2 linked regions of the Arabidopsis thaliana genome follow. The protein of the gene in region 1 interacts with the protein of each later gene in a pairwise test. Each region holds a gene or a part of one and is shown on either strand. Other genes may lie near its edges.

Region 1 (5,275 bases):
GATATACAAACAAAAAACTTTAGATTATATGGTTTATTTATGTGGTTATACACCGATTAACTTCTAATAATTTGTGTAAAAATGTCATTATTCTATCACTATTCGGATCAAAACCGGTAGAATGAATAGTGTTGACATTTTTTTTTTTTTTCTAATAAGAAGCACTATTCTTTTTAACAAAAGAAAAGAAAGAAACACTATTTTTTTTTCTTATAGAAACAATGGAAATTAAAGTAAACAAGACTAAATACAGAATCAGCCACATAGCTTTGTTTGTATCCGTACATTATCCTAACTCATTGATGTCGACATACGAATACGCAATTCATGTGACATATTGTGCAGTTGTGTTCACTGAATGGGCCTATAAGCCGACGATAACCACGAACAGCTAGACATATAATGGCCTTCACGAGCCGAGTTTAAATACATGTATTCCACCAAACTCTACACTATGTTATTTTCTGCTAGCTGTTATAATGTCTAAACTTTGATTCTTTATCTAACTATTTAATTACAATCCCTATGTTGATGTATGTGCAATAGTTATGTTGTTGTTACTGAGAATATTGAACAAAAAAATAGTAAACCGGTGACCAAATGTTTTCTCTTCCATAGAACTTGAACACCAAACAGTTGTTCATCATTTTGGTAGTACTGTATCGAACTCCGGTTAAACGAAATGTAGCAGAAATTGAATCAAAACCCTAGAACCAAAACTATTAGAATGAAAACAGAATTACATTGTATAATGAGAAAACGTAAAGAAGAGACTTGAATTTTGATCATTTACAGAGTCAGAGGATCGTATCATTATCATTTTTGTTTTTTCGTTTTTCTTTCTTCATCAGACAAAAACTACTTACACTAGAGAGACAGGCATATGTCAGAGGGACGAAGAAGTAAGGAGATGATGAAGTGAAGAAACGGTGTGAGGAAGACTCACCAATCTCAACATTCACATCTCTTTGCTAATGTTTTCTTTACCCCTCTCACAATCTTCCCGAACCATATCAAGTTCATGACACCGAGCGCAGCTGGTACGCCGAATACCAGAACGTAACCAAAGATGTGCATCCTCATGACCTACCCACAAAACAAAGTAATTCCATTTCAATCACACCATAAAAAAAAATCCGGAAATGAAACCATAGTGATGTATTAATTTCATGGGGAAGGTTTTGAAGCAATTGGGTATCAGCATAATCAATAAAACCGCTAGATAGTGAGCTTTACCTGGTTGTAGTGGAGATAAACATGATAAAACATGTATATGAACAGTAGAATTCTAGCAACCTGACATGAAAGTGTTTGAGTGATAAGTAGACACATAAATGCCTAGTATCAAAATGAGTCGAATGTTGATTAGGATTTGTAAGTACCAGCCAAGCCAAGAAGATGAAAACGCCATTAACAACGTATGCCAATGATTTTTTCATACCAGCCGTGTCCAGGTACCTTCATAAGACCACCGAGACAATCCACTTTTTTGTCAGGAGAAAGGTTGCGAACGTGATAAGTTTTGTATATGGTATAACGAAGAAAAGAGGAAGTACCATCTCAAGTTGATCTCTGGGGTTGTAATCTCGGAGATGAGGACCATGTAGGTATATAACTGTCCTTCCCCGGAAAATAAAGAGTAGGCAACTGCAACCCCCGATAGCGAGTGATGCACAATCTGAAATCAAAATGTCAACTTGATCTTAGTTTTGGGCTTTTGGCGACTGGCGTTAGCTATCTTTACACATTAGTAATGTTGAGCAATGTAGCAAGGCAAGTATATAAGCCTTGAAACATCAACAAGCAGAATATAAGGAGGATTTTGAATATCTTTGGAGAGAAATCACTAGATAGAGTAAAGTGTTTGGACAAGAACAAGTACTTACATACTCAATTCCACCCAAAGAAGGATATTTCCAGAAGATCATCCCAAGATCAGCAAGGAAGTAACCAATAGATATCTGCAAATCATTAATGTAATAATGTTGAAATTCTTCTCTCATAGACTTTTACATTAACGTTTTTGGATCCACTAAAATGAGTGCTTACCCCTAAACCAAGAGAAGAAAGTCGTGAGCTCCGGAAAACAACAAGATCATTATGCCACCTATCGGAAAAGAGGTCGGACCAGAACACAAAGTACAGCGACATAGCCGAAATAAAAATAGCATGAACTGTCGAGATACCACTGCCAAACAATACAAAACGATTCAAAAACCTAAATAGACACACACACACACACAACATGAAAAAGAGTTAACAATCATCAAACACAAACCGGTTATTCCATTCGATTCTTTGAATTTTCGTGAGGATGATATAAGTCTTAGAATGTGAGTTGCTGATAAAATGACAAAGATCATAAACCTGCAAACAAAACAAGAAACGTAACCATCATTAATCAATCGTCCCTAGATCTACAGAATCATGAAAGTAACAAACAAAAATCCAAACTTACCACTTTGCAAAGGAAAATGCCGGTGAGGACAGAAGTGTAAGGAATAAAAGGATCAGCTAAGAGATAATTCTTAACCAAATGCTGAGCTTGATGATGATAAGACTTAATAGCACCAATCGTTTGCAAAGACGTCGTCGACATTGCAAGATAACAAAGATTCTGGTGCTCTTTAAACTCTTATCTATCGATTCTCATTTCATCATTCTACCACCTACACCAAAAAAAACCATATTGACAAAGAGATCAATCTCAAAACACTAATCTTAATCCACACAAATCCAGAGTTTTTAAGAAATTTCTCAATCTCAATAGATTCAAACTAATCTGAGTTATGTGAATTCGAAAAATGATGAACAGATTCTGCAATCTAACAAAGATGTATGAACAAATCACAAATGAACCCTAATTTCAAAATTTTCGAAACTAACAAAATGCAGATTCGATAGATACAGAGAAGCAAAGCAATACCTAGATTGGGGAAAGAATCCTAAACAAAAGAGTGAAATTAGCAATCGAGGGATAACGAAGCTCGGATTCAAAATCGAAGTCAAAGAGGATCCATTGAACCGATGAAGAATCGCAAAACAAGGAAGAATTTTGAGAAGGGTACCTTAGGAAGAATCTGAAAATTGAAGAAATGCACGCAAAGGAGAAGACTTTAGGAATCAAGGAGGAGAAAACTGAGAGAGTGAGAGAAAAAAGCAGAGAAAGGGTAAATCAGAAGTAGCATCAATTGAAGAAGAAGAAAGCTTTAGCTTTAATCAAATGTGAACGATAGAGAGAAGAAACACAAAACACTCGATCTCTGGGAACACAAAAAAAAAAAAAAAAAACACTCCAGCTGTTGCACGAAAATAAGAAAATAAAAATAAAATAATTGTTGAATTTTAAAGGCTAGTATTAGGTTTAAAATTCATTCTTTTTTTTACATATGCCAAACTTTGTTAATGAGTTGTGGGAAAAAGAAACTCTTACATTTATTTGGCAAGAAAAAAATCTTATAATAATATATGGCTAACTTATGTTAATGAGTGGGGTAAAAAGAAAAATGAATTTATTTTGATAAAAACAAAAGAATATACGAAAAATGAATATATACATAAGAAAATAACATGAAACACAAAAAGATGATAAAATGTGAATAAGATAGAGTATAGATTATTATAGTTCGATTCGTGTGAATCACTTCGACTATCATGTCTTTTTCATTTGGTTTGGTATCACTTCTCTAAAATCATTTTCTTGTTGCTACTTTTTATATGGGATATATATCACACATATATATATATAGGAAAAAAATGTTAGTTACCTTTTTATAGTTTTCAAGAAACATTTATGAGGAATCTATCATTACATAAAAATTATAAAATGAAAAGATAGATTTGATGAAATATAGGAGGGGACTCTTGAGAGTCAATGTAGTAAATAAGATTCTGCAAACAACCAATCAATGAGTATATAATACATGAAATTAAACATTGAGAAATCGTGCAAAATCCACCTTAATGATTTGGTATAGCTATGGTTCATGAACCCAAGAAATATCAGTAAGGTCCAATAAAATAAAATAAAAACAGAGAGCCCATAACTGATATTATATCGAAAACAAGAGCACCATTATGTTTTTTTTGTTGGAATGCATATGTAGTAGAGATGCATGATCGACGACAAAAAAAAAAAGAAAAAAAAAAAAAAAAAAAGTAGAGATGCATGATCAATTGATCATTACACAAAATAACCTTATAGATAATGTTCCACATGAATAGATGGTTTAGAAAAAAGGAATTTCAGACACAAGGCAGAACATGTAAACCCAAAACTAGAGTACTCATGTCTGAGTTCTCAAGCCCTTCACAAAACAGAGAAGTAGCAAAATATGAACTATTTATTGAATCCAAAGTCTGAAAACTATAATAAAATACCATAACATGACATAGTTTCAGCTCTAAAGAGCATTACAATACCAAATACAAACTATTTTCAACACACCAACAACGAAAAGGAAACAAACAAACTGCATATCTAACGATTAGATTCACGCACAAACATCCTTTCTAATCAGAAAAAGGAGTAAGAACTGCGTTAATGAGACGTTCTTATTTAGATAAATATTTTAAGATCAAACTTTTTTTCAGACAAAGAACATAAAGTTCTCGATGCCTGCGTGAACCTTGAAGATCTCTTTGTCCTCCATTGTGACAGAAGAGGATGAAGAGGCAACCGAGGCAGAAGACGAAGACGCTCCACGCGACTGCTTAGAATTCTTCTTCATTAAGCTTGCCTCGTAGTACACCCTTCCTCTAGAAGCAGCCTTGTCAGCATAAGAAACCGGAGGAACCAGAGCGACCGGTTTGGTGCAGCGAGTAAACGTGAAGCACAAGTCAAAGATGAGTTTCTGAATCTGATTCGAGTTGAACCCGATTTCGTCCGAAAGAACATAATAATGAGTTGGTTTGCTTGTACCTATCGCTCCATGTTGACTACAGAGGTAGAAATCATACTCAAACGGGTGAATGATCGTGGTATCAACGACCGTACCTGAAGGCACATTGCCCTTAGCCCTTCCATCTTTGCTAGTTGTGGCGGGGAAGAAACGGGTTTGATGACGTTTCTGTGCCACAATTACAGTTATCTGCGGATTATAGCCAACCTTGGCAAAAACGTCCTTAACATTCTGTAACTCCACATTGAGAACCATATCGAACTGACCATCGCTGACACCATCACGGAATATCACAATCTTGTTAGGTCGTTTCTCGGGGGCCTGAGAATGAGCTTCGATAAGCTCCCAGCAAGTTTCACCAAACCCTTGTATCT
Region 2 (4,708 bases), about 18 Mb from region 1:
CTTTCTCACCCAACTGTTTATGAGAATTGAACTGTTTCTTAAAACTTCTGAGAGATTTGTTTTTGCAGAGGACGGAGATCAAATCCAGTATGAGCTTTTAGAATTCGTTGGTCGTCGTACTGTCCCGCAAGTTTTTGTTAACGGCAAGCATATTGGTGGATCAGATGGTATGATGAGCTCACTATCTCCTCCAAGTTTCATTCTTTTGTCCAAATTTCCCTTGTAACTCACAAGCCTTGGCTGTTTATCTTGTTGCTTCAGATCTTGGAGCTGCTTTGGAGAGTGGTCAGTTGCAAAAGCTTCTTGCTGCAAGTTGATATTTGAGGACCTCGAATGTGGAATCTACAGTATGTGATTTACAGGAATTAGAAATCTTTGCTAGTTGTAGACTGAATAAGCGAATTGATATGTATGACTCAGTTATGTAAGTTATGATGGCATTGATAAAGTCTTGATCTTTTGTTACTGCACTGCTCTGGTGATTGTTTCGCTTAAATAATCCATACTTGTGTGCCTTAGTGAATGGTTCATACGGCAAATATCAGATCATGGAAAGAAGAGCAAGTACAAGAACTTGTTATTGAAATTTTACCACAATGGTAATATACTATTATGGTGCTAGTTCATGATTCTGTTGCAGCACATGACTCTGTCATTAATCGAAGATTTACTCATTAGGACTACAATTCTTGCCTTCAGGGTACAGAGAAGATTATAGAGAAGAACTAACAGCATTATTGCTTCTATCTATATAAAAAAAAGCTGATCAAAATTCCCAAATTCATGGTTCTTGGTTCTCTTGACTGTTCTTGATAAATCCATTGTGTTTAAAACTGACTTAGTCATCGCTTTGAATTGGCTACTATTCAAGTTGATCAGTATTCGCTTCGAAATGGCTTGTAGGACTTTAGATCAAGAAGTACTCCAGCTATGGACCCTGCAGCTGCAGCAATGCTAACTACTAGACACCCTAAGCTGAAGACTTGAAGGCAAACCCATCTGGTGCTCCATCTAGGTATCTTCTTCTGCGCGATGTACATTTCCACTGGAAAATACACCGTCAATGGCCAAAACCCTAGTGCCCCGAGCAGACCCACAACGTCGTTGAAAAACGGAAGAAGCATTGAGATAACTGTCGTTATGATCACAAACACTGTCCTCCATATCAACCTGAGTAAGCCATTCCACGCCACACAGAAGCTTTGATTATTACATACACATCATGTTTAAAACTCAGATCCCATTAGTTTAAAGGCAAGATTTGTACCTGAAGACATTCAAGCGGAGAGGCTTGAAACCAGGAATTGGAATTTTGATATCTTTTGCAATGAACTCACTATCAGGGAATTGAATGGAAGCTTGCTTCTCGATGAAAGCAAACAGAGGTTGGCAATAGACTTGGTATGCACCAATAAGGTGAATCACAATGGCTGCATTTGCAATGTCAAGAAGCCAATAAGGATTATAAAACCCGAAACCGGTTAAGAGATTTCCCGGAGACAAGTCTCCAAAGGCTGCATATCCCATACATCCACACAACATATAGAACATAGTCGTTACACTGACGCTCACAAGTGTTGCCTTCTTCATCGTCTTCTCTTCTGATGGTGGTGACTTCACTGTGTCCTGTTTCAGATCCCAGAATAAAAAAAGCTTCATGATGGGACCAGTAATTAATGGCTTTGATCATCAAGACTTGTAAAGAAGGTATAAGTACCTGAATCTCGATGAGGATAATGGAGTAAGAGTAAGCAAAAGCAATGTCTCCAAGAGCTTGAAAGGTCCTCCATATCTTCTGTGTCTCTGTTACTGCTCCTATGCTAATCCCAGTGAGACTTCCCTTCACCTTCCCATTAACTGATGAAACCAAAACACATAAAACCTATTAGTTTTTTACCTATGAAAGTTCTTATTTAAGACCCTAGAAGCTTTATGGTTCAAGAAACGAACCGACAACTTGGGCTATGCCGAGGGCGAGACCGGCTGAGGAATAAGTGAAGGACATAACGGCGGCGAGGATTGAGAGCCACCAAAGTTGATCAAAATCTGGAATCTGAGAGAATAGAATCTGGACTAATCCAAAAGCTATCATGTAAGGATTACTGTTCATGTGACATGGATCTTTCCCTCCACTCTTGTGGAAACAGTTTGATCTCTTTATTGCCCTGTTTTTCAAAAACAAAATTTTGTTTATTTTTTATTATCATCAAAACCTATTTGGTCCATTACCTAACTTCGTAGTTTTAAGAGTTAATTAGTGAGAACACTCACATCATGCTTATAGCTGAAGCAATTGTGTAGCCAATAGCAACACCAAAGATATTAAGATACTGAACAATCCCACATAGCGTCACCTTCACGCCACCTATACAGAACAATGAAAAATGTTAATGCTCTGTTCTGATCTGATCTCCATTGTCCGATTTCTACTTTGAAGTTTTGTATTTACCGAGATTTGATCGGACAGCATCCATATAAGTGTAGTTCCTCTTGCCGGAGATAGGGTCGCCGGAGCGGTAACAAGCAGCAAGAAGAGAAGAAGTGAAATAAGTGACGGCAGAGAAGAGCAACATCACCACCGGTCCGGCGAGCCAACCTAGCTGCGCCGTAGCCCACGCTAGTGACAAAACTCCCGAACCTATCACTGCCGTTATTATGTGTGCACTCGCCGTCCAAACACTCCCTAAAACCCAAAATTTAAAAACTTTCAACTTTCTCGTTTTTTCAACATAACTAAATCAGAGCAGGTTTCGAGTTCAAATTAATATTTTTTTGAATAATTAGAGAACCAAGTCTCAATATGAATTAAAGAGAAAGAGAGAAACATTGTTACCAGTTCTTTTGTTTTTCCCGTCGTCGTCCAAGTACTTGGAGCCGCCGGTTTGTGGCATATCGACGGCGAGAACTGTTTGGTGGTTTTGAACCATCTTTTGTTTGTTTTGCTCTGTTTTTTTGGTTCTTCGTTCAATCTATGAAGTTACATGCAGAGTAAGTGTTTGAAAGAGTTGATCTTTAGAAGGTAAGGGAAATGTTTAATGACTTTGTTAAAGAACTGTCTTGTGGATGAAGATAAACTGAGAGTGGAGTGCAGATTTATATACACAGAAACTGGTAAAAACACTCATTTGAGGCAAACACAGTAAAAGGTAAAAAGTGTATTAAAAAAAATATATCTGTCTTGGTAAAAAGTTGGTAGGACCACTATTACTCAAGTGTTACTATTGAAAAATTTGACTTCATGATTTATAATTTTATATGAATGATTCGATACCAATTGGATAAAAACAAAAGAAAAGAGAAAATATGGGCAATGGAAAATTGGAAGTCCAAGATGATACCATCGTTTTCATTTGGACTTAAAATGTCATTGTTCAGCTTTTTTGAAAGAAAAAAACAAACATTCATGTACGTGTGTGTTTGAAGCTTAGTGTTATTTTCACTTACAACTAGATTTTATTAGAGTATTTTATGAGATTAGAGAAAATAAAATGTTGTTTTAAAAATAATAGGCATTTTGGTTATATCATTTGATTATTTACGTATTTCGCTAATTTTAAATTTTATTAACCGTGGACAAACTAAATTTATTTAGAAAACAGCTTGGTTTTTTCTTGAATATTTCAATGTAAAGTGTTATCGCATTAAGATGTTAAAAGAACATTCATGGAATCATGACATATATATGGAGAAATCTATGCCGACTTTAAATAATGAGTACACGCAATCATGTGTAGATTTCAAAATGATAACTCAAAACCAAAAGGTGATTTTTATAGTATGAGCAATAGTAACGCACATATACTATATCTTACCTAGAATCCGAAAGTATATCACCCCACCATATAAGTTTCTGTAGGTAACTAACTTATGAGGCGTGTAAGCTATATGTTCTTCTCGAAATGAAATATTTTGATTACTTTGCCAACTAAACTCATTTAAACATAAATGACATACACAAACTTGTATTGGCTTGATTCGTGGGAAACCAAATATCCTTTAAGGACTTACGAGAAGATTTGTATTCAGACAAGTCATCATTCAAAGGAAATAGTCTCCAAATATAAAGGGAATTATATTCATAAAAATAGAATCTATATATACATTGTTGCAGTCATTTTGTGAAATAAATCCTGGAGTTGGAATTTATTTACAATGGCTACCATTGGCTTTTAATTATTGTTTTTTTAGCAATAAATTGATTAACAAATAAAAAAACATTCGAAATATATTCCAATCCCATATATCACGCAGATTTTTCCAAAATTTGAAATAGATTTCGACAACTATTTAAAACAAAAAATGTTTGACAACCCAAAAGACAATTGCAATCCCTTAAAATGAGCGAAACGCAACTAAATATATTTCTTATCTATTCACTAAATCTTATGTCTCCAAAATTTGAACTACATTTCGACAACTATTTAAAACAAAATTTTGTTTGACAAACTAAAACACAATTGCAATCCCGTAAAATATTTATTTTAATTATAAATTTAAATTAGCGGGGTACCGCGGTTTATTTTTACAGGACGAGTTTGGTGGAACGGGTTTAGAAGGACGTTACTTAATAACAATTATAAACTATAAAATAAAAATATTTTATAGATAGACATAATTTGTAAAATTTTATATATACTAATTTAAAAAAATAAATTGTCTCCGCGGTGTACCGCGGGTTAAAATCTAGTTCATTCTTTACAATTCCAAA

What was found. Proteins that work in one complex are often made in the same cells at the same time.
Region 2: the proteins of AT1G31300 (region 1) and AAP3 interact in a protein complementation assay, tested with the Arabidopsis thaliana proteins (one large-scale study listed by BioGRID).

Annotation. Positions count from the first base shown.
Region 1 is NC_003070.9:11,191,632-11,196,906, reverse strand, and holds AT1G31300 (TRAM, LAG1 and CLN8 (TLC) lipid-sensing domain containing protein), read right to left. Parts: upstream 3,283-5,275; 5' UTR 3,069-3,282; exon of another isoform or gene 2,927-3,068; intron 2,670-2,926; 5' UTR 2,600-2,669; coding exon 2,459-2,599; intron 2,368-2,458; coding exon 2,279-2,367; intron 2,189-2,278; coding exon 2,050-2,188; intron 1,962-2,049; coding exon 1,887-1,961; intron 1,679-1,886; coding exon 1,557-1,678; intron 1,459-1,556; coding exon 1,383-1,458; intron 1,297-1,382; coding exon 1,237-1,296; intron 1,087-1,236; coding exon 952-1,086; 3' UTR 510-951; downstream 1-509. Other genes in the region: AGO3 (ARGONAUTE 3), read right to left, coding at 4,590-5,275.
Region 2 is NC_003070.9:29,074,326-29,079,033, forward strand, and holds AAP3 (amino acid permease 3), read right to left. Parts: upstream 3,066-4,708; 5' UTR 2,928-3,065; coding exon 2,834-2,927; intron 2,684-2,833; coding exon 2,450-2,683; intron 2,366-2,449; coding exon 2,272-2,365; intron 2,166-2,271; coding exon 1,951-2,165; intron 1,858-1,950; coding exon 1,718-1,857; intron 1,627-1,717; coding exon 1,268-1,626; intron 1,171-1,267; coding exon 876-1,170; 3' UTR 554-875; downstream 1-553. Other genes in the region: AT1G77370 (Glutaredoxin family protein), read left to right, coding at 1-167, 262-317. UniProt on the Arabidopsis thaliana protein: Amino acid-proton symporter. Stereospecific transporter with a broad specificity for GABA, tryptophan and both neutral and basic amino acids. High affinity transport of cationic amino acids.